Oryctolagus cuniculus: one gene and its partners. The protein of the gene in region 4 binds, or shares a complex with, the protein of the main gene of each other region. Links are inferred from orthologs where the notes say so. Each region holds a gene or a part of one and is shown on either strand. Other genes may lie near its edges. The genes, in order: ELAVL4, HNRNPU, G3BP1, IGF2BP1 and Y-box-binding protein 1.

Region 1 (4,708 bases), on a different chromosome or scaffold from region 4:
GAACTGAACAAATCTTTCAAATGTTGCTCTGGAATCAGACAGATCTGGGTTCAAAACAGGGTCTAGCCAAACCATTTACTTGCTGTATAAGTTTATCTCTCAAAACATGTTAGCTCATCTGTAAAATAGGAAAATTAACATTTAACTTTTAAGGGTGTTGTAAGGATTAAAAAGGATATTGTTTGTAAGATACAGTGCCTGACTCAGTTTTGAGTAAGAGCTCAAAAACTGAAAGAAAATCTCATTTCTAATTCTACCTCTAGGTCACCCCCATTAGTCACTATTATTATTATTTTGAAGATTCAGTTAGGTGGCATGGCCAAGGAATGAGGTTTCCTGGTTAATACATATTTTGGTTAATAGGACAACATGTACCATGCACACATTCGTTAGTTTCCAAAGATACAGAATATAATGCTTCATATTAAATCTAAAACAATCAGAACTTATCCTTTCTTTAATGCTTTGGAGGATAATAGCCTGTTATTTTTCTTTTGGCTAATATAGAGTTGACTGTCAGCAAGAACAGTGATTCTCAAACTTTTCTGGTCATGAACCAACAAGTGAAAAAAAAGAAAAAAGTAAGATATTTTGAACGCAGCAGCTTCAAATCACAACTTAGAACGAAAGGTAACTGAAACAGAAGATTCATGAAATAAAAATACTTACTTTAAGGTAAGTACCATTCAACGATATTTTCTTTTCTGTTTCAGTCCATTCTATCATTGCATTGTTTTAATGTTTTTTAAATGCTGGTTCAGACCCAATAAAACAACTATAAGCAAAACCACAACCTAATATTGCTATTCTGTTCACTAACATGTATTAAAGATACAGTTCAACTGAGCCTGTGATTAAGCTCTGAAGTTTTATTAATTCTATTTTACATTAAGAAACCGAATCTCAGGGGCTGGCACTGTGGTGTAACAGGTTAAAACCCTGGCCTGAACCACTGGCATCCCATTTGGGTGCTAGTTTTAGCCCTGGCTGCTCCTCTTCCAATCCAGCTCTCTGCTATGGCCTGGGAAAGCAGAAGATGGTCCAAGTCCGTGGGACTCTGCATGCACATGGGAGACCCGAAGGAAGCTCTTGGCTTCGGATCAGCGCAGCTCTGGCTGTTGCGGCCATCTGGGGAGTGAACCAGCAGATGGAAGACCTCTCTCTGTGTCTCTACATCTCTCTGTAACTCTTTCAAATAAATAAAAAATAAATCTTAAAAAAAAAAAGAAACTGAATCTCAGAAAGTATAGGTGACTTGGGCTAAATGGACTCCCAAAAGTCAATGACAGATCTAAGATTCACAAGTTTTCTAACTCTGAAGTTAAGGAAACTTAAAAAACAACCCCCACCCCCCATAAAAGCCAAATTATGATATTATGATTATGATAAATCAACTCAATAAATGCATACTGAGTATTCACTATGTACCAGACACTGAAATAAGAAGGCATTTGACACAATCTTTGCCCTCCAATGCTAACTGAAGGTCATCAGATAAGACCTAACTTAGAGGTCAGAGTGTTGTGGTCAAGTCACTGCTTGGGATGCCTGCATCACATATCAAAGTGCTGGTTCAATTCCTGGCTGCTTCACTTCTAATTGAGCTTCCTAATATGCCCAGGAAGTCAGTGAAGATGGCTTAAGTACATGGGCTCCTGCCGCCCATGTGGGAGACCAGGATGGCATTGCTGGCTCCTGGCTTTGGTCTGGCCCAGCCAAGGCTGTTACAGGTATTTATGGAGTGAATCAGCAGCTAGATCTCTCTCTGCCTCTCTGCCTTCCAAATAAAATGAAAACAAATAATTTTTAAAAATACCAAAATCAGAAAAGTTAAGTGACTTAGTACACATACTTGTAAATCTAAAGTGGGTATTTTATATATTATTTATTTATTTATTTGAAAGGCAGAGTTACAGAGGCAGAGGCAGCGAGAGAAACAGGTCTTCCATCCATTGGTTCACTCCCCAAACAGCCACAGTGGCTGGTGCTGGGCCAGTTGGAAGCCAGGAACCTGGAGCTTTTTCCAGGTCTCCCACGTGGGTTCAGGGGCCCAAGAACTTGGCCAATTTTCTACTGCTTTCCCAGGACATAGCAGAGAGCTGGATTGGAAGTGGAGCAGCCAGGAGTCAAACCAGCGCACATACGGGATACTGGCATCGCAAGCGGCAGCTTTACATGCTACACCAGTGCTGGGCCCTAAAGCGGGTATTTTTTAATATAGGGGGAAATAAGCTAATTCCGCACCCACTACCACCTTCTCTTTGACCATCATTTACTCTACAGAATGAGCACTGGTAACTGTTGGCTAGAGCACACAGTGTACTCTTCTAATGGCACATTTCTTTACCATCTGAATAAAAGTTGGTATCTTTCATTCTAGTGCTTTCTGACAAGTAACCCTAAAAGTAGTCCTCAATGTGACTTCACCAATGATTGTCATCATCGTAACATCACAGTATGTTCAGAAGAATGCTCTAATGCCAATTCTTAGCTCTCTAAGTAACTGATATTTACTTTAGAAAAGTCTTTAGGATGCTTTTACTTCTGAGATATTGTCACTTAATAAAAAGAGAGGTCTAGCCCCTGAGAAACAACCAGGAAACAACAGTCCTTGATCTAAAACATTTCATAGCTACTAATCCAAAGTAGAAACCAAGTTAAAATACTGAACCTTCCTAAACCATAACTTTTACAACTGTCTCTCTAGCTTTACCTTTACACAGCCTATATTGCATTCACACCAAGCTACTTACAATTCCTTAAACAAGCCTTGTTAAGTTCCCATCTCTATGCCTTCATTAATACTATTCCTTCTATGTTGAATCCACCTTGCTTATAATTCTTCTGCTAATCCAGCTTCCTGGCTCAACTCAAAAGGTATTTCCTCCATAAAGCCTTGTCTTCTTCTTCTAACAAGTATCTCCCTCTTCTGTATATTGTACCATCTCTGCCAAAACACTGCCTACATTTTGTTTGTCATTATCCTTATTGATACTCATATTTTAATACATATTATAATATCTATTAAATAACATGACATTCTAGGAGGCAACTAGATTGTGCTTCCTATACAACAAACATACAATATACATTTCCTGAAACTGCATGGAAAATTTAGATCTAGAAAGGGAATTACCTTTTGTTCCTTTACCCAAGACAGGCGAACTTTGGCCAACCTGGACATATTCCCAGATACTCTGGAGTGAAGACTTTTCATATTGTTAAATATTTAACCTGAAGCAAGCAGTTGAGTTTTATTTTTGAAAAAAGGGGTTAACAGTACCTGTCTTAGTTACATTAACAAGATCAAACTGACAACATAGAGCAAATATTATATAAGGCTAAGTGAATATGAGATATGATCTCTATGGTCACAAATCTGTTAGAACAATCAAAGTTCTAGAATGTAAACTGCTCCTCTGTTCTAGGAAAACTGACACAACCTGAAGTATACCTCAGGAAGTGTACTGTCAAGATTACACCAACCCATGTCTCCAAAATTCACTAACTAGAGATCTTTTTAAGAGTTCTTAGTAAAGCTCTTCTAAACTTGAAGTTTTTCCTTCTTGTGGCAAATCTTAAGCCAGAAATATAAATTCAAGATTCAAGTACTGTCTTAAATATAGATGAAGTTCCAATTTTTTAAAAATATAAACACCTACCTAGCAACACAATCCTAAGAATATACATCTGCTTCTTATTTTGCCCATTTGCCTGCTCAAATCACTCACCCAATTATCTCCTTTTGGCCCTTCATTAATAGAATTGGATTTTTCTAGTCTAAAATCTAGAGAAGTATCTCCTATACTTTCCTTTCTCCAAAATGTAGCCTTCTCCCTTTTTATAAATATATTTCTTCCCATATAAGCATAGTCTAAAACTAAGAAAATACCTTCTAAGAGCTTGTATACCACACACAAAACCTACACACATAAACCTGCAAAACCTTTTATGATTTTTGGTGAAGCTTTGAAATACATAGACTCATGTGGAAAGAGAAAAGTCCTGTTATCTATTTCATAATAAAAGTTGTTTGCTTTTTTTTTTTTTTTTTAAAGAAATGAAAGTACAGGGCCTGGAAAACAGCAGTCATGGGATCAGATTAACTTACAACCCTTTCCCATAGGTGAGTTATTCATTTATTTAGAGGCAGAGAGAGAGAGCGAGTGAGCGAGCTCCTATCCACTGGTTTACTGTCCAAATGTCCACAATGGCCCAGACTGGGCGGGGGCTAGAGCCAGAAGCTGGAAACATAATCCAGGTAGCCCCTGTGGGTGATAGGAGTCCAACTACTTGAGCCATCACCACCACCTCTCAGGTTCCGCAGTGGTGGGAAACTAGAGTCAAGAGCTGGAGCTGAGAGATGAACCCAGGCACTCTAATGTGGGATGCAGATGTTGTACCTGCTAGGCTGAACACCTACTTCCTCTAAGGATTAAATTGAAGAAAAGAAGTAACTCCCACTCACATCCTTTCCATGACTGTATATGAAGTGAAATTCAAAATCTGTGACAGTAAACGATGTTCTAAGATTGTGTTTTCAGTTTAAGTCTTGAACCCCTTCAGGAATAAATTCTTTTTATTTCTCCATTCTTTTTTTTTTGGACAGGCAGAGTGGACAGTGAGAGAGAGAGAGACAGAGAGAAAGGTCTTCCTTTTGCCGTTGGTTCACCCTCCAATGGCCGCCGCAGCCGGCGCATCGCGCTGA
Region 2 (4,983 bases), on a different chromosome or scaffold from region 4:
GCAGAAGGTGACTTAGCTATGCCACAGCTCTAAAACGAGCAGGCTGGGGGTGATCTGACCCATCCAACTCTCAACCCTCTGCAAAGCTCTGGGAGATGAAGTCATGGAAACTTCTCATGTGTACCAGAAGTAGTAATTCATTTATTAATATAAATGGTTTAATAATCATCTAAGAACAATGTAAAACTCTATTATGCTTATATAAGCTTGGTTTTCATAGTTTTTTCTGTGTTAAATGGAAATTGTTTCCTTCTGACTAAAATTTAAAAACATAAATTAAATCTGAGGACACATACACATTAGAGGACCATCGACATAATTGCACTTAACTCTGATTCATTAATTACCCAGTTGGAGAACATCGAAGCCCCCTGCAGCTCTCTTCCCAATTCTGAATGAGAGCAAGGAAGAGTTCAAATTCGTCTGTGGCTTGTTGGCAAGCTTCAGCAACATAGCCAAAGGCCAAGTGAATTTCTGACACTATTTGGACGCTTCTACTTCCGGGCTGTCCTAGTCCCCTCTGTTAATTTGAGGATTACCAGTACTGCACACTATTAATCTCAACTCAAATAATCTCACGGATGTCAGTATTTCACCTTATGCCTGAATACAGGGTAAGACACATTTCTTAAAAACTGTTGAAAAGCAGCTTTTAAAAACGAACATTTGTGGATCAGTTACATCACCTCAGCCTACGGGACAAGATTTGCATTTCTGTACTTCCACATTTCAAATCAATAGCACAGCAGTCTTTTTGTGCAGCAGGTCTCTTTCCTCATTCCCACGGGGATCGCTGGCCTGGCACTGTGGGGACGCTGGGGGATTAGGATGCTACCCCGGATTGCCACTCTCAAACTTCAACCACGATCCAATCACGGATTTCTTTTTGAGAGCGAGGTCTCTCATGGCCCGTCTGCCAGACTGTCGCCCTGTTCCATCTCAGGAGCCTTTGGTTTGGGCACCATTGGGTCCCCGCGGGGACAGGGAGAAAATCCACGGGTGGCAGGTCCTAGCTGCGCTTCGCCCTCCTCACCGCACGCCCGGGCCTGAATGACAAACATCAGGCCCCACAGAGGCCTCTGCAAGGCCACTGACGCCATGCGTGTGGCTGCCGCGAAGAGCGCGCTTTGCGGATGCAGACCGGAGGAGGGGAGAAGCCGCTTTCCCAGGCCCCGCACCGGGGGCTGCCGAAGACACAAAAGAAAGGCTTCCCGAATTTAAAAGGCCATTCGCCAGGCCGGCTTAGAAAAATGAAAGGAGATACGAGGCCGGAGGTGGGGGGGGAGAGGGGGGGAAGAAGGGACGAACCAACTCTCCGTGTGCTGACTGCCAGGCTGGGTTAGACAAGCCAGAGCGGAAATAAAATCCCGAGGCGTTTTAAAACGGTATAGCAGGAGGGGCACCCAGGACGGCAATACTAAGATGGAAGAAAAGGTGGAGGGGTTCGAGCTGAAAACGCCAAGCTGAGCTCTGCTAGCATTTCAAGCCGAGCAGCCGCCCAGGCTGGGAGGCCAAGAGCAGAACGAGCTCCCTCGGCAGAAACCCAGTGGACTTTGCAGCGGGCCGGTTAAACCGAAAGGCGGTTTCCTTCTCCTCCATTTGCTCGGCACCCAATAGGAAGCGCACTGCGCGGCCTGTGCCGCGCTCCCGACCCGGGCCTCGGCGTGGGGGCGGGGAGGCAGGGACGGTGCTGGGCGGGGCCGAGCGCGAGCGCGCTCCCGCCTTCCTGCTGCGCGGCGCGCCCGTCAGCGCGGGGGGCGGGGCGGCTATATTACGTGCGCGGCGCCGCCCCTGCGAGAGGACGTTGCGTGCTCGCTCGCGCCAGGCGAGTCTCCGCGTCTCCCTCGCGAACTCGGTGAAAGGAATTGGCGCCGTTCGACACCAGGCGGGTCCTCTCTGCAGCACGAACCCACCTCCAGCCGCAGCCGCCGCCCGGACCGAGGAGCAGCCGCAGCAGCCGCTACCAGTGGCCGAGTGAGCGGAGCCCAGTCCGAGCCAAGCTCCCTGCCGCGAATCGGGGCCCTCATCATGAGTTCCTCGCCTGTTAATGTAAAAAAGCTGAAGGTGTCTGAGCTGAAAGAGGAGCTCAAGAAGCGGCGCCTCTCCGACAAGGGCCTCAAGGCCGAGCTCATGGAGCGACTCCAGGCTGCGCTGGACGACGAGGAGGCCGGGGGCCGCCCCGCCATGGAGCCCGGGAACGGCAGCCTAGACCTGGGCGGGGATTCCGCCGGGCGCTCGGGAGCAGGCCTCGAGCAGGAGGCCGCGGCCGGCGGCGACGACGACGAGGAGGAGGAGGAAGAGGAGGAGGAAGGGATCGCCGCCCTGGATGGCGACCAGATGGAGCTAGGAGAGGAGAACGGGGCCGCGGGGGCGGCCGAGTCGGGCCCGATGGAGGAGGAGGAGGCCGCCTCGGAAGACGAGAACGGCGATGATCAGGGCTTCCAGGAAGGGGAGGACGAGCTCGGCGACGAGGAGGAGGGCGCGGGCGACGAGAACGGGCACGGGGAGCAGCAGCCTCAACCGCCGGCGGCGCCGCAGCAACAGCCTCCGCAGCAGCGCGGGGCGGCCAAGGAGGCCGCGGGGAAGAGCAGCGGCCCCACCTCGCTGTTCGCGGTGACGGTGGCGCCGCCCGGGGCGAGGCAGGGCCAGCAGCAGGCGGGAGGTAAGAAGAAGGCGGAAGGCGGCGGAGGAGGCGGTCGCCCCGGGGCTCCGGCGGCGGGTGAGTGCTGCGTTGTACGTTGCGCGCGGCGGGAGGCCCGCGTGGGGTGGGGACCGGGCCCCCGGCCTGCCGGAGCCCCCCGCTGGTGGCTGGGTGGGCGGCGGTGGGGGGAGGGAGGGGTGCGGGGAATCCCAGATTAGCCGAGAGGCCTGGGGCTCGGGGTGTGTGTGTGCGTGTGCGTGTGTGACGGCGGTGGCAGCGCCTCCATTATGTGGCTCGGGAGCCGGGGCGGGGGTGGGGGCGGGGGAGCTGCAGCTGCCGCGGGAGGGGGGGAGGAGCCCCGTCGGCCCGCGGTGGCGCCGCCGCGCTGTGTGTGCGCGCGGTGCGGGCACATGGCTCAGGGCGGGGGGAGGGGAGAGGCCCGAGGTCCCGGGGCGGGCGCGCTTTGGCGGCTCCTCGCCGCGGTATTGTGCAAGGAGCGCAGGGGCTCGGCGTGACGTCACTTCCGGCGGGAGGAGCCGGCGCGCCGAGCGGGGCGGAAGATCCGTACAATGCGGCCGCGGGCTGCGCGGGCCCGGGTGGGGGAGGGGCCGCCGCCCCCGCGCCCCTCCCCCTCCTGACCGCTCGTCGGGATCCACGTGGGCTCGGGGCCTCCGGCGCGCAGTTGCGCTTAAGCTTTCTTGAAGCCTCCGGTAGACGGGCCGAATTAGTAACGTCTTTAGGCTGCGTCACTAACTCCAATCCAATTCCAAGCTGATAGTTTGAATTCACATTCGACCTGGCGGTTCAGTATTCACCCAAAACTCATTAATTCGATGCTTTTAGGCAACTTGAAATAAAAGCGGCTTTTTTTTCTTTTGGCGGGGGTGTTGGGTGGCTTGAGCACTTATGAGAGTGTCGTGTGTTATAGGAGACGGCAAAACAGAGCAGAAAGGCGGAGATAAAAAGCGAGGTGTAAAAAGACCTCGAGAAGATCATGGCCGTGGATATTTTGAGTACATTGAAGAGAACAAGTACAGCAGGTAGAGGATGCTAACGGATTGTGCGTTGTTGTTGCCCGTTCTCCGTGGGTGGGCAGAGACGTATCAGGAGCCCATTCTGTCTTTCAGAGCCAAATCTCCTCAGCCCCCCGTTGAAGAAGAAGATGAGCACTTCGATGACACAGTGGTTTGTCTTGATACTTGTAAGTGAAGCTGTTTCACCCGCTCCCCCACGCAGTCCTCAAATGCCTTGGGTTTTTTTGACAATGTTAGATTGCAGTACGTTTAACCTAAGTGCAGAAAACATGTACAGTTTTCTAAAAAGCAAAGATAATGATTGATACCCAGAGTGCAGTAGTTTAATATTAATATGCCATCAGTTGTGTTGAATTGATTTTACAGGCTTTGGCAATTTTAATTGTAATTTAAAGCTTCTTATTCTTGAATGTGAAATTGATGCCAATTTTGGACTAGTTAGCTAATGGAAACTGTTAACGTGTCCTACAGTAATTTCCTTTTATTTTGGGATTGTTAAGTCAGCTACTTGGGCTGGTTAAATACTTAACTGATGACTTTTCCCATTAGCACTCAAGTATATTCCCTATTCTAAAAGACTGTAATACTATTTCAATAACTGCTCTTTTGTTCTCAATTCCAGTTCAGTAGCTGCTGCTTTAACATAAGTTGATTTCTTCCAAAGACCTGGGGCAGCAGCAGTGGGCCATCACTGGGCCACTAGCTTTCTTCAGCAGCGAATGGTATCAATGGCAGCACTGTAAATACTACGTTACCCAGTTGGGTTGCAATCGAGTATGCGGAATTATTGCAAACCTTTAAATGGGCCGTGGCTGTCAGATTTTACTTAAATTACGTTGGGTTAGCGTTTGATCAGAATAGGATGCACCAGTCTTTCCAGTGTGAAATAGAACCAAGAGTAGAAATCGTACTTGAAAAGTTAAAATGTCAAGTTGCTCTGGTAAGGCGGAAGTTAGATTCGGATGCTTCCTTGTACAGATTGTTGATTCAGGTGATAAATGGTGATACCTCTGATTTCTTACTTGAATACCCTGTACAGGTAGTTAAGAGTTGAGTCTTTGGGAAAAAAATGCATATGGAAAAGGTGGCTTGAAATTTTGATGTCAAAATCAGTTGCTTCAAGTTACTAGCAGTTACCAAGATGCTGAAGCACTGATTACAGGAGCAACAACAGCTTCTTGAAATCATAGTTCTATCAGTGATCAGGAATTTCAGGAGCAAAGCTAATTTAAAAGTTCCGAACTGTAGGTTTCCTGTCCTGTAAAAAGGAAAAGAGCCAGCTTTCTACCTTGACTTTAGCTGTCCCTC
Region 3 (4,896 bases), on a different chromosome or scaffold from region 4:
CTGCAAAAGAAAAAAAAAAAAAGCCAATCTCTTGGTCCCAGACTCTTTCAGAAGGCTTCCTGGGGCTCTCCACTGCCCTCAGATTAAAGTCCAAATTCCTTAGCCTGGCTAACGTCTCGCAGCTTCCTTAGCGCCTGCTCCGGGCCGAGCTCCGTCGCGGCGGGGCAGCATCCGCGGGGCGCAGCCGGTGCCCAAGGTGCGCGGCTCCCACCGGCCGGAGGCGGCCAGGCGGCGGGCATGGCGTCTCTCCCCGCCGCCTGCGCTGGGCCGGCCGGCTCGGCGTCGCTCTCCCGCAGCACGGCCGCTCCACGTGCTTCATCTCCCAGTGTCTCAGCGCAGCCTAACGGAGCCCCAGCCCCCGGTCACATGGCTGCAAGAACGGACCCGGGCGGGTCTGCGCCCAGCGCGCTGCAACCGCGGCTCTTATCGTGTCCGATGCCCGTGGCGGCCAACAGAGGGCCGGGTCCGAGGTCGAGCGCCGTGGGCAGGGCAGGGCTGGGCGGGCAGGCCCCCGAGGGGTCTGAGGAGGAGTTACCTTCACCCGGCGCGGCGGCGTGAAGGCAGAAGCTCCCCGCACCACAGCCACCAGAGCAAGGGGTGACAATGGTGGCGAGGCCGGCGGGCTGACCACAGCCCGCCCAACGATCGCTCCTCGGCGGCAGTGCCGCGGGCCAAGTCGGACCGGAGCCCGCGTGGGGCGCGCGTCCTCCCGCCCAGCGGCCGTCGCCACCTGCCGCCTAGCCACGGGCTCCGGCGTTCCCAACGGGCGCGCCTCGCCGGCAGTGCTGACTCACGGGAAGGGCCAGCAAGTGCCCTCAGGCAGCGCGCGGACATGAAAGAGTTTGATAAGGAGAAGAATTAAATTCAGGGAAACTTTGCCACTTGGCTTCCTGGGTGCCAGACTGTGCGGAAAAGGCGGGAGAGGGAGACCCCAGGGGCCGGACCCAACAACCGAAAGAAAGAGGACAGAAGCCGGAGCCCGGCCCGCCTCTTAATCGCCCCGGAGGGCAAGGCCGCCCTGAGCCTCGGTCTCTTTGGAGAGCGGTTCAACCCCCATGTCAATCAGCTCATTCCGGTGTTGCCATTGGCCAGGTGCTTCCATGGCCTCCAAGTTGCCCACCTCCTAGTTGCTTGGGGTTTACTTCCCCAAAGTACACGGGCCCCACCTTGTGGAGCAACCGCTCCTGCACGGAAAACGGGTCTCCACCCAGGGGATGGAGTGCTAGCCAATGAGAGCATCTCCAAGCATTTATTGGCTACTATGGGTATCAGTCAAAGAATTTCCCACCCTCCTCTCTACTATGCCTTCCAGTTACTGGGCCCTTTGAGTGCCAATCCGTTACTAGGGAAACGAGATCTTCACAGTCTCATAGGTATGTGTCAAAGCCAATCAAGAGCCACGCCCCCATCATGAGGCAGTATCCAATTGCTGTTCGAAGAGCCCAGAGGATGCAGTCGGGATTGGTCATCCACTCGCCTGGCCTGGCTGCAACAAGTTAGGCTGAGTCGCGATTATATAGACCGGCGGCGGAGCACGCGTGTGTGCGGACGCAGTTGCGTGAGCGATTTCTGCTTCTCTCCGTGCGGTGGAGCAAGGCTTGTTCCTCTCCCACTCAGCCGCGCAGGTACGCCGGGGTGTGGGCGGGGCAGGGTACTGGAGGACGGGGACGAGTCGGGGCGACGGCGGGAGAGAGGAGAAACCCGAGGAGCTGCCGCGCGGGGCGCGTCCCCCCACCCCCACCCCAACGGCCGCAGGCGCGCGCGGCGGGCGTTCGGGCGCGCGGCGCCGCCTCCCCCCCCCCCCCCCCCCCACCGGCTGGAGCGCGTGGCCGCGTCCGCCGCGCGCGCGTCCAACGGCCACGCGGGGCAAGAGCAGCCGGTGGCGGCGGCCCTCCGAGTCCCGGCGTGACCTCCCGGGCCCGGGGTCCCCGCGTTGCCCGGGAGCGTGTGCGGCTGGCTTTGCGCGCCGGCCCCCGCCACGCGCCATCGGGGGCTTTCTTGGAGGGGACAGCACGAAAGTGCCATGAGAGAGAGTCTCGGAGCTGGCAAAGCAGAAGTGCCGCGCCTTGGTGGCGCCTGCGGGGACGGGGGAGATGCGCGGTCCTCCCCGCCCGCACGGTGCCGAGCGGGGTGTCTGCCCGGAGAGCTGGGTGCCGTCGCGGCCGCCTTTCGAATAGGAGAGGCACGAAGGCACAGGCCCACGGGCGGAAGGGCGGGTAGGGTGGCTCGCTGGCTCCGGGCCCCTGAGCCGGTGCGAGTCCAGGGCACCTTTGCCCCGGGAGCACTTGTCCCTTCGCAAGGCCCCTGCGCGGAGCGCGGCCGGGCCTGAGTGCGCATGGGCTTGCAGGGGCTCGGGTTGGGAGTGGGGCTGCGACAAAGGGAAGGGGTGTTTGGGCTTCGTGCCTGCACGTATTCGTACCGTTGCAGCTTCAGAGAAAATTAGAGGGGCGGGGGGACCGAGTAAAATGCAGATAAGTGCGTGTGTTCCTCATCGGGCTTTAAGCTCTCAGCATTGTGATGGGAAAGTCCCGCCAGCGGGAAGTGAGGCTGTGATTCGACTTTTCCCTTTTTTGTTTAAATCAGCCGATTTTCGGGGAAAAAAAGGGACGTCTAAGAAAATCAGTTGCCGAAAATGAGGTCCAGAGCAGTGAGATTCGAATGTCCCCAGCACCTGTGGGTTGAAATTAGAAATTGGAGTGGAGGACATAGCACCGGTTACAATGTAACCGTGATCCTGCGGGGGTTCTGTGGCTGAGAGGCGCACTGTCGGTATTGGAAGTGTGTCTGCAGGGTTCAGTCCGCAAGGCTCCAGGGTGTGTGCAAGGTCGTGGAAGAAACCTTCCTTACCATCAAGGACTGGAGTTTATTTTTACAGCAGTGTTCTCATATTGTGGACTATTGAAAGCTAGTAATGCCTTGGTCTCGTGAAATGTTTTTAATGTTGCAGGCCCGTATCATTCATTTTGCATCGCAAATACCTGAACTTCAGGCAGAACTAAAAAAAGTTTGAAGATTAGCTCTTTGGACTAATTTTTTTTCTTGAAAGGCTTTTCACTGTTTTGTTTTTCAGTAAAGCTTGTTTCTACAGATCCTTTTTCAGATCTTTAAGGGATTTTTTTGCTGTCAAAGCAGACACAACGTGCATCCTTGTGCAGGGATTAACAATTACGAAGTTTAATATTTGTGTTTCTCTACGACAGGCGCTTTCCCTGTTTCTTAACAGAAGGTAGCAATAAAGGATCAAAATAATTGTAGGGACAAGTTCTTCCTTTGTTGGTGTTGCTATAAATAACACGTTGCTTTAAAATGTAACATTGTTTTATTTGCAGCGTGCTTTGTGTAGCAATTCCAGTTACCTGCATTTGTAGCATGTTAAGATTTAAGGTGAACCATTTAAATCGCCTGATGTTCAAACATGATAATGACGTACATTTAAACAGAGTTCAGTGAACATTATTGCTTGAGGTAAAATAAATATATCAGAATGAAATGATCTTACGTATTGAGGAAAATTTTGTAAATTTTACCTTCAAATACTAAAAAAGTTGTTCTTGACCTCAGGCAAGAAGTGGTCTTGTTGGTCTGGAATACTATGTGATTATTTTGCAAATCAGTACCCCAGCTGCTGATTTGTGCCTTTTATCTAGTACTGGTAAACTGAAGAAATTGTGATAACACAATACCTGTGTCTCCCCACTTCTGGATCAAGGTATAGGTTACTTTTCTTGGAGTTGAGTCCTTTCAGTCTAAGCTTTGTACCTCTTCTCACAGGTAGAAAAGTATGTGGGTCATTGTTTAACTCTTAGCTGGTAGGTGGGGTGGGGGCGACATTGGGAGATTTTGATTTTGTTTGTGACCCGTGTTAATTTATCTTTTGGGTTTTCAAAATTTATTTCAGTACTTTATTTAGGAAGTAAAGAACACAGATTAGTTTTAAATTTTCATAGATTTGTGATGGTGTTGAAATTTCATATAAGACCAATTACTAAAATAAGTATTTTTGTCATAATAAAACTGCATACTTGATCTTTTAACATTTTTGCACAATAGTTTTTTTTTTAATTACAGAATTCAAATAGGTACTGTATCTGTATATATGTAATTACATTGTGCTTTTTGACTTCCTTGGACAGAATTGTATTGACTTTACAAAGGAGGACAATTATCAAAGTACATTTGTCAAAAAAAAAAAAGTCCTTCCACCCCCCACCACTAGTCAGCTGAGGGAAACCTGTACTGTCCTTCCAAGTCCTGGAGTTAAATTTAGATTCAGCAACTGTAATCTCACTCACAGTTAGGGATCACATTGTGGCTGTTAACCAGCTTTATATCTTTTTGAAAAGTCAGCTTTCTCGTTGACCCTTCTTTTGTGAAGCGTTCTTACACACCACTGGGGCCTCACTGGGAAGGCTAAATTGCAAGCCAGGTGGTCGTGTGGTGAGCTAGGAGTAGTCCACATACGAAGAATGAAGAGTCTGCCTGACAGAGCAGAAATCAGTTAACATTTTTTTCATCACAGGCTGTGATCTAGTAAATAAGGTTGTTTTTTATAATATTGCATAGCTTTTTAGTATGTTTGCTGTACTTCAGCATTCTGTGAAAAGTAAAGATTAAAAATGTTTCAGAGAAAAATCTGACTTCCTGGGTGAGACCCCATCGGCTTTGTAGGGATGTGGTCTTTGGTGGTTGTTAACTTATAATATGGCTGTGTAATGGCAACATCAGGTATTTATATAGGCCTTCAAATTTTAAAAGTGCTTTCACACAATTTGAGTATTGTATTTTTACTAAAAAGACTAGAGCTATGCATCCTATATAGTTAGCTAAATTGTAACATAAAGTGTGTGGTAGTAATAGGGTGCTATAGCCAGCTCTTTCTTATTCAGAAAACGTACA
Region 4 (4,206 bases):
GGGCTGTGTAACTTCTGCCATATAATCCCGCCTCCAGCCTGGGGCGTCCCTGGTTGTCCCGGGGAGGGGCGGGGAGATGAGGTCTCCCACAGGAAGCCCCTCTACTTGCAACATGTGCAGTCCTGCCCAGGGCAGTGGGGTGGCAAGAGCGCAGCTCTCACGGCCGTTAAGAGAAGGACTCCTTGCACGTCCGCGACTGTTCTGCATCCAGTGTGGGGTGTGTGCCGGAAGGTCCCCCGCCCCTCCGGGACAGCGTCTTACGAGGAGATGGTGATTTTCGTCTCTGTGTCCTGCTCCACCTTCTTCAGGTTCCGCCCCTCCTTGCCGATGAGTCGGCCAACGAAGTTGTTGTGCGCCAGGATCTTCAGGGGGACCTCGTCAGCCCTGGGGAGGCGTGGGAACATGAGCGCCATCAGCGGTGGACACACAGACCCAACCATCGTGCCACGCCAGTGTGGGTTTCCCAGGACAAAATGCGAGAAGTGATGGCTCTGGGCCGGCACTGTGGCGTAGCGGGTAAAGGCGCCGCCTCAAATCTCAGCTACTCCACTTCTGATCCAGCTCTCTGCTATGGCCTAGGAAAGCAGTGGAAGACGGCCCAAGTGCTTGGGCCTCTGAGACCCAGGTGTGGCTCCTGGCTTTGGATCAGCACAGCTCCATCTGTTGCGGCCATCTGGGGAGTGAGCCAGTGGATGGAAGACCTCTCTCTCTGTCTCTCTGTGTCTGTCTCTGCTTCTCTGTAACTGTCTTTCAAATAAATGAATAAATATTTAAAAAGAAAAAAAAAACAAGGAGAAGTGATGGCTCAGCAGGCCCAGGTGGCTTTGCGACAGAGATATGGCGGTGAGGATGAGAGGTTGAGGGGGTTCAAGGACACTTGGGGTGCTGACTTCGTGGCACGGTGGTATAAGCCGCTGACGGGGACGACGGCAAGCTATCACAGTGCTGGAGTCCCGGCTGCCCAGCTTTGATCCAGCTTCCTGCGCGTGCACCCGGGGAAGGCAGCAGGTGCTGGCTCAGCCTCTGAGCCCGTTACTCACGTGGGAAATCCAAATGGAATTCCTGGCTCCTGGCTTCAACCTGGCACAGCCGCGGTTATTGCGAGCATTTGGGGAGCAAACCGGTGGGTAGAGATCCTTCCCTCTATGTGTCTCTCTCTCCTCTCTAAATCTTTCACTCTGCTTTTAAATAAATATTTCTTTAAATGTGTGACTTACTGTCTACGAACTGACCTCAATAATGCTGTAAAAAAGGCCAAAAGCGTAAATAAACATAGGAGTAATGAAGCACGCCTGCTGTTTTACTTTAACTTATTTCAAAAGCAGAGGCAGAGAGATCTCCCATCTGTGGCTTCACTCCCCGAACTGCCAGAGCTGGGCTCTGTGGAGTCAGGAGACCGGAACTCCATCCCGGTTTCCCACATGGACCCAGAGACCTGCGCCGCATTCATGAAGCTGGCGTGAGAAGTGGAGTCTGGGCTGGAACCCATTCCACTAGGAAGTGGGAACCCAATCAGCGTCTTAACCACAGCTCCAAGTGCCCTCGCCCTCCCCTCGTAACCAGGGAGAACGGAGACAACACAAACACCCATCAAGAACCAGGAGACTACTTAAGGGAGCACACACCAGCCCACTATGCCAAGGACAAAACGAGGTGTGTCCACAGGCTCCAGGACACGGGTGTTGGTACAGAGAGCGAAATGTGGACAGAACAACATACCTGGCATCACGTGATCTTCCGTGCCAGAACACCTGCGCACACACCCACACGCACCCCCCTGGGAGCACAGAATTTCTGGGAGACCCCACAGTGGGTCTAAGGAGGATTTCACTTAGTCTACGTCCCTGTCTCCAGGAATTCTGCACCAGGATCTGCGTGGGGAGAGGGGGCCCAGTCCCTGAGGCCCGGGAGGAGCAGGAGACTCACGTTTTGGTGTCTTTTGCCTCCTTATGCATGATCTCCAAGATCATCTTGCAGGCGGAGGAGCAGCCCTCGGGGGTGGAGTGGATGCTGATGGCCTTCTCGGCGGCGCCCGCGTTCTCCTTCCTGTGCACGTCTATCCTGAGCCGAGCAAGGGCAGAGCCCGTTAGTTCTCGCCAGCGACATCTGCTCTTCCCCTGCCCCCGACACAAAACCACACACTTCAGGAGTCCAAGGAACAGAACCTGTTCTTCTAGAAACAAGGCTGACACAAGGCAGCCCTGGGGGGCTGGCCTCGTGGTGCAGCAGGTTAAGCCGCTGATTGCGATGCTGCATCCCTGACCGAAGCACCGGCTGCTCCACTTCCAGTCCCTCTCCCTGTGAATGTGCCTGGGAAAGCAGCGGAGGATGACCCATGTGCTTGGGTCCCTGCCGCCCACACGGGAGGCCTGGATGGAGTAATGGGCTCCTAGCTTTGGCCTGGCCCAGCCCTGGCTGTTGTATCCATTTGGGAAGCGAATCAGCGGATGAAAGATCTCTCTATGTCTCTCTGTCTTTCAAAAAAATAAAAATAAATTATATCAATCATATATATATATATAAATCATATATACATAGAAAGAGATTTGAAAAGGGCCAAGGCAGGGCCAGAGAGAGAGCTGTGGCCAGCCTGTCTTTGCAGTGTCTGGATCCAGATACGGCTGGGTACAGAATGTCACGTATCACACAACACTGGCTCCATGTCCGCTGGAACACTGTGTGCCCCCCTCGAAACAACAGAAACAGCAGCCACCTTGTCCCCAGCTAAAAGTAGATACAGAATTTATGATGAGGAGGACTTAATGTGACCTGTTCTTTCCCACTGAGTACACTGATCAGCTATAAAGATTAGAGAAAGGAATTCAAAGGGGTGGAAAAGGAGGCAGGACATACACTGATGGCCTCTGACCAAGGGCCCTGCCTTTCGGGACAGACAGGCCAGCCCTGTGCCACCACTACGTGGTCGTGAAACCACCGACACCAGTACTGACTCCCCAGTGCCTCCTGCGACATCTCGCTGGTGGCGGTGCATGGCCAAGCCACTGGCACCCATGCTGCACCCCAGGCCCATTCTCCTTCCCCACCGGCCAGGCCCTCCCAGGGACCCCGAGGACCCAAGGGTGCAGGGCAACTTCTGCCTGAGTCCCGGCCGCTGTCCCCTGCCCCCTGCCCCCGGACTCACTTGGACTGAGTCTGCTTCGTGATGTTGCGGATGGTAGCACCCTCCTTGCCAATGATGGCGCCGACATACTGGGTGGGCACCAGGAGCCGAAGGGGGATGTCCACCTGCTGCTGCTTGGCAGGGGCCCCGGCCGCCACGGGCGAGCCCTGGCGGGGCTGACCCCGGGAGCCGAAGCCTCCACGGCGCCCGTTCTCGGGGCCCTGGGCTATCTGCTCGTCGGGAATGTAGGAGACCTTCAGGGCGTGGTTCTCCAGCTGGTGGCCATTCAGCTTCGTGATGGCTCTGGGGACAGAGGTAGAGGGGACCAGTCACTCCCCCACCATGCCAGTCATATCAGGTGCGCTCCTGGCGCAAAGCACTCTGGGGTACCCCAGCTGGGCACACACTGGGGGGATCCACTGCCCACCACTCCTGCCCTGGGCACCCTTCTGATCTAAACAGCCTGAGACACGGAGAAAGACATGGACTCGGTGACACCCAGCACGGGGCGGGGTGGGCGGTCAGTGGACTTCCAGGCCGGGAACAACCATGGATCTCCCAGGGCACTCCTGCCTTGGCTGCAGGACACACCACACACCTCAGGTGGCTCAAAAAAACCAGACTCCAAAAACTTAAAAAAAAAAAAAATCTGACTCTCTTAGAGCTGGCGCTGTGATGATGATGTAGCAGGTAAAACCGCCGCCTGCATCGCCGGCATCCCACGTGGGTATTGGTTCAAGTCCCGGCTGCTCCACTTCTGATCCAGCTCTCTGCTATGGCCTGGGAAAGCAGTAGAAAATTGCCCAAGTCCTTGGGCCCCTGCACCCACGTGGGAGACCGGGAAGAAGCTCCTGGCTCCTGGCTTTGGATCAGTGCAGCTCTGGCCATTGCAGCCAACTGGGGACTGAACCAGAGGATGGAAGACCTCTCTCTCTCTCTCTGCCTCTCCTCTCTCTGTGTGACTCTGCCTTTCAAATAAATAAATAAATCTTAAAAAAAAAAAAAAAGTTGACTCCCATTTTTGGACACAAGGGGCAGAGACACACAGTATGGCCAGGCTGCTCCCTGAGCCCACCGGCCCACGA
Region 5 (4,124 bases), on a different chromosome or scaffold from region 4:
CTGGACATGACCAGCAGAGGGCGCTCCCAGTACTATGAGGTTTGGTCAGCGGCCTTTTGGTCTTTAATCCAAAAGGCCTCTTAGATTTTCCTAGCAAGCCCTAAATCCATTAGACTAACATTTACTATATTATATTATCTCCCTTGATTACACAAGTAATTAAGCATGGTGGTGGCGTTTCTTAATGATAACTGATATTTAGAAATTTAATAGACGTGCAAGTAATTTTGGGTAGTGAAAAGTAAAATGCCAAGTTTTAAAGGTCACACAGGATGTGAAAGCACAAAATTCCCAAGACCTTTCCTCCAGCCTGTACGGTGGCAAGCAAGAGTAAAATGTATTAAACATCAAAATTATCAAAATATTTTATTTTGAAAAAAAAATTTAGTATCATGGTCTCAGACTGGCTTATCCAAATCCAATGACCACTAATAATCACGCTCTTTAGTTCATACACAATAACAGCCTACAAAGGCCAACCACTTCTGTCCTCTATTATTTTACTTCTATTCTATTTAATTCTAGTCTAGTATGAAGTTCAACACAGAGATAAATGTTCTTAGGGAGTAGTGTCACACTCCATGGCTGCAATTTCATAAATCTAGGTTGATCCTGACTCACTAGTGGACCTCAGAACTCTACAAAAACCGGGTCACTGTGAGCTTGATTCTAGGTTCAAGGTCTCTGCGAGGGATCTTTATTCCTTCTTCAAAATCCTACAAAAGCTCTACACAAGTCCTTTTAATAACTGCAGCAGAAAAATATAGCCCAACTGACATATTAGCAAGCATAACTTAGAGGAAAAGTTACTCTTTAATCCCTAATAATTATGATACACTTACTATTCACAATTCTTACACATGACATCACAATGAAATATGTATTATCATCATTCCAACTTTACAAATGGGGAATCTGAAACAAGGACACAAACATCACACTACCAAGAGTGGGAGGAAGGGTTCAAACTCATACCCTCAACTACCACCCTGTGCTTCTGTACAAAGGATCTTCAAAAAGTTCATGGATAATGTGTATTATTTTTTTTTTATTTAAGACCTTTATTAGCAGGTGCTTGCAGTTTGTTGACTTTTTTGAAAAAATCAAGTTGTAAACTTTTATTACAAATTAAAAATGAAGTTCTTAAAAATCTCAACTTGACCAGATATGAAACAATTTAAAAACCTTTAAAGGTGTATTGAGAAAAACCAGGCTTTTTTAAAAAACACGTTTGTCGTTACCAAAAAGAGACATCTTTAGGTAAAAATAATAAAAACCCCATGCTGCATAGATAATGCAGATAGTTCTAGTAATCTGGTCAATGGGCAAAAAGCAAGCACTTAAGGTCTTCAGCTCCAATCTTTTGTTCATTTCTTATTGCTGGAATTTCATATTCATTTCTTCTTGTTGGATGACTAAACCGGATGATGGTAGAGATGTTAAGCCGGCATTTACTCAGCCCCGCCCTGCTCAGCCTCGGGAGCGGACGAATTCTCAGCTGGTGGATCGGCTGCTTTTGTCTCTTTGCCATCTTGTGGTTTAGGGTTATCTGGGCGTCTGCGTCAGTAGTTGAAGTTGCGGCGGTACCAACGCTGAGGTGGCTGCTGACCCTGGGTCTCATCTCCTTGGTTTTCCTTGTCTTCTTCATTGCCGTCCTCTCTAGGCTGTCTTTGGCGAGGAGGACCTCTGCGGAATCGTGGTCTATAACCCCGATACATATTCTGTCTCACTGGTCTACCTTGTTCTCCTGCACCCTGGTTGTCAGCACCTTCCATCACTTCTCCCTGCACAGGAGGGTTGGAATACTGTGGTCGACGCCCATAGGGTCTCCGCATGTAGTAAGGTGGGAACCTTCGCCTGCGGTAGGGCCGGCGTTGTTGGGCCTGGCCTTCGGGAGCGCTCTCCGATCCCTCATTCTTTTCCCCACTCTCACTATTCTGGTAATTCTGCTGGTAATTGCGTGGAGGACCCCTACGACATGGGTAGCGTCTATAATGGTTACGGTCTGCTGCATATTTACTGCCTTGCACTGGAACTCCACCAGGACCTGTAACATTTGCTGCCTCCGCACCCTTTTCTCCTTCAACAACATCAAACTCCACAGTCTCTCCATCTCCTACACTGCGAAGGTACTTCCTGGGGTTATTCTTCTTTATGGCAGTCTGGTGTACAAATACATCTTCCTTGGTGTCATTCCTGTTGATGAAACCATATCCGTTTCTTACATTGAACCATTTTACTGTTCCCAAAACCTTCGTTGCGATGACCTTCTTGTCCCCGCCGGCGGGCGCCGCCAATGTGAGGCTGCCCAGGCCACCGCTCCCTGCGCCGCTGCCCGTGGTGCCGGGCTTGGTTTCCACGGCGCTGAGGGCGGGGGCGGCGGGCGGCTGCTGGGTCTCGGCCTCGCTGCTCATAGTTGCGGTGATGGTGACTGGGGCCGGCTGCGGCAGCTGAGGCTCCTCCCGGGGTGTGATGGTAACTAGGCCGGCGGTGGCGGTGGGGCTGCTCAGGGCTCTCTGGGGTCCGCTCTCCGCTCCCGCTACCGATCGAACTATGTGTATTATTTTTAAAAACATGCATTTCAAACATGTTTGTACCCAGATACTTCTCTTTAAATTCCACTTTCCATGAACTTTGAGGTTGCCTCATACAATGATTTATCTTTAGTGCTCTTCCATTTTAAGTATCAAAATATCAGCATTATTAATAATCCTACACAACATTAATTCTATTTCTAAATAATCTACTACTGTTTCAGCCTACTGTCGCTCCCCCTCTTCATGGAGGAACGACACTAAACCCTGCCTAGGCTTCATATCCGAGTCACGGCACCATTATGTCGCTCCCCGTCTTCGTGGAGGAACGACACTAGACCCTGCGCTGTTCTTTTGTCTGCTCGGCCCTCCCCGGGTTTGCTGCTGGTTCTTCCCAGGTTGGCTACCGTCCCTCCCACCTCCGTGGAAGGGCGGTTCCCCCTGCCACTTTCCCCACTTCCGCGGGGGAGCAGCACACCGCCAGCCGGCTCTCTCGGGGGCTGCACAGGTGTTCCTCTTAGATGTTCCTGGTGCATGTTGTCTCTCTCCTCCTTTATAGTCCTCTTCCACCAATCCCAACTCTGCTACCCACACGCCGAGTATGCTGCTCTCCTCCAATCAGGAGCAGGTCCTGCTGTTTATTGGTTGAACTGGAGGCAGCTGAGTAGAAGCTGTTTACTCCTCTCCCAGCGCCATATTGTGGGAGAGCAGATGCATAGAATAAGTCTTAATTCCAGTAACAGTCTAGTCTGAGTTGCTCCCCACAGATCCCCCTTTCTTTTTATTTTTTGGCGTTGATACGCGCCTGTCTTCGGTGCCCCGTGGCACACACTCTGCTCTGCTTGCTGGAGTTGCCCACAGGTTCTTACAAGTCCTATCAATCAGGCAAACCGAATCCGGGTCCTCTCTTCGCCATGTTGTGAGGTTTTTAGGCGCTGATGCGTGCCTGTGTTCGGTGCCCTGCAGCGCATGCTCTGCTCTGCTAGAACTGCCTGCAGGTGCTTACAAGCCCTACCAATCAGGCAAACCGAATCCAAGCCCTATCATCGCCGTCTTGTGGGGAGACTTATTGGTGTTGATAACGTGCCTGTCTTCGGTGACATGCAGCCGCTCACAGGTGCTTATCGTCTTACTAATCAGGCAGACCGAATCCAAGCTCTCTCATTGCCGTGTTGTGGGGAGGCCTTTCTATTTCTCTATCTCCAGGCATTCCTATTTCTCCTATTTTACTTCTATCTGCCAGCATTCCTATTTCTCTCATTTTACTTCTATACTTCTATTTCTCTTATCCCTGCGGCATCCCGGCGCCCGCCCCGAGGCTGCTTCTTGGCACCTTGCCCCGCAGCGGCTTCCCGGCTCTGTGCCACTTCCCGGCTTCGCGCATGCTCCGCGGTCTCCGCTCCCCTTCACACCCGTACCACAGCCTTGCGCTAGCCCCACGTTCCCTATCTATTCGTGCCCCGCACGCTCTCTCTGCGCGCGGCAGCTTCCGCAAATCACACAGCCTAGCTCACGTTTCCGCCACCGGTATTCAGTCTAAGTTCCCTGGGCTAACTTGGCGAATTCAACCTAGCTCACGTCTGCGCCTTT

Evidence for each region.
Region 1: IGF2BP1 (region 4) and ELAVL4 share a complex: the UniProt entries of both Homo sapiens proteins name them as parts of the TAU mRNP complex. The link is inferred for Oryctolagus cuniculus from reciprocal best matches to the Homo sapiens genes IGF2BP1 and ELAVL4.
Region 2: IGF2BP1 (region 4) and HNRNPU share a complex: the UniProt entries of both Homo sapiens proteins name them as parts of the coding region determinant (CRD)-mediated complex. The link is inferred for Oryctolagus cuniculus from reciprocal best matches to the Homo sapiens genes IGF2BP1 and HNRNPU.
Region 3: IGF2BP1 (region 4) and G3BP1 share a complex: the UniProt entries of both Homo sapiens proteins name them as parts of the TAU mRNP complex. The link is inferred for Oryctolagus cuniculus from reciprocal best matches to the Homo sapiens genes IGF2BP1 and G3BP1.
Region 5: IGF2BP1 (region 4) and Y-box-binding protein 1 share a complex: the UniProt entries of both Homo sapiens proteins name them as parts of the coding region determinant (CRD)-mediated complex. The link is inferred for Oryctolagus cuniculus from reciprocal best matches to the Homo sapiens genes IGF2BP1 and YBX1.

What each region holds. Positions count from the first base shown.
Region 1 is NC_091438.1:122,749,761-122,754,468, forward strand, and holds the start of ELAVL4 (ELAV-like protein 4), read right to left. Parts: upstream 3,384-4,708; 5' UTR 3,218-3,383; coding exon 3,137-3,217; intron 1-3,136. UniProt on the Homo sapiens protein: RNA-binding protein that is involved in the post-transcriptional regulation of mRNAs. Plays a role in the regulation of mRNA stability, alternative splicing and translation.
Region 2 is NC_091444.1:64,895,317-64,900,299, reverse strand, and holds the start of HNRNPU (heterogeneous nuclear ribonucleoprotein U), read left to right. Parts: upstream 1-1,764; 5' UTR 1,765-2,028; coding exon 2,029-2,719; intron 2,720-3,569; coding exon 3,570-3,681; intron 3,682-3,768; coding exon 3,769-3,842; intron 3,843-4,983. UniProt on the Homo sapiens protein: DNA- and RNA-binding protein involved in several cellular processes such as nuclear chromatin organization, telomere-length regulation, transcription, mRNA alternative splicing and stability, Xist-mediated transcriptional silencing and mitotic cell progression.
Region 3 is NC_091437.1:38,748,447-38,753,342, forward strand, and holds the start of G3BP1 (ras GTPase-activating protein-binding protein 1), read left to right. Parts: upstream 1-1,851; 5' UTR 1,852-4,896. UniProt on the Homo sapiens protein: Protein involved in various processes, such as stress granule formation and innate immunity. Plays an essential role in stress granule formation.
Region 4 is NC_091448.1:25,216,944-25,221,149, reverse strand, and holds part of IGF2BP1 (insulin-like growth factor 2 mRNA-binding protein 1), read right to left. Parts: intron 3,425-4,206; coding exon 3,143-3,424; intron 2,062-3,142; coding exon 1,927-2,061; intron 385-1,926; coding exon 262-384; intron 1-261. UniProt on the Homo sapiens protein: RNA-binding factor that recruits target transcripts to cytoplasmic protein-RNA complexes (mRNPs). This transcript 'caging' into mRNPs allows mRNA transport and transient storage.
Region 5 is NC_091434.1:59,356,463-59,360,586, forward strand, and holds Y-box-binding protein 1, read right to left. Parts: upstream 2,592-4,124; 5' UTR 2,577-2,591; coding exon 1,563-2,576; 3' UTR 1,041-1,562; downstream 1-1,040. UniProt on the Homo sapiens protein: DNA- and RNA-binding protein involved in various processes, such as translational repression, RNA stabilization, mRNA splicing, DNA repair and transcription regulation.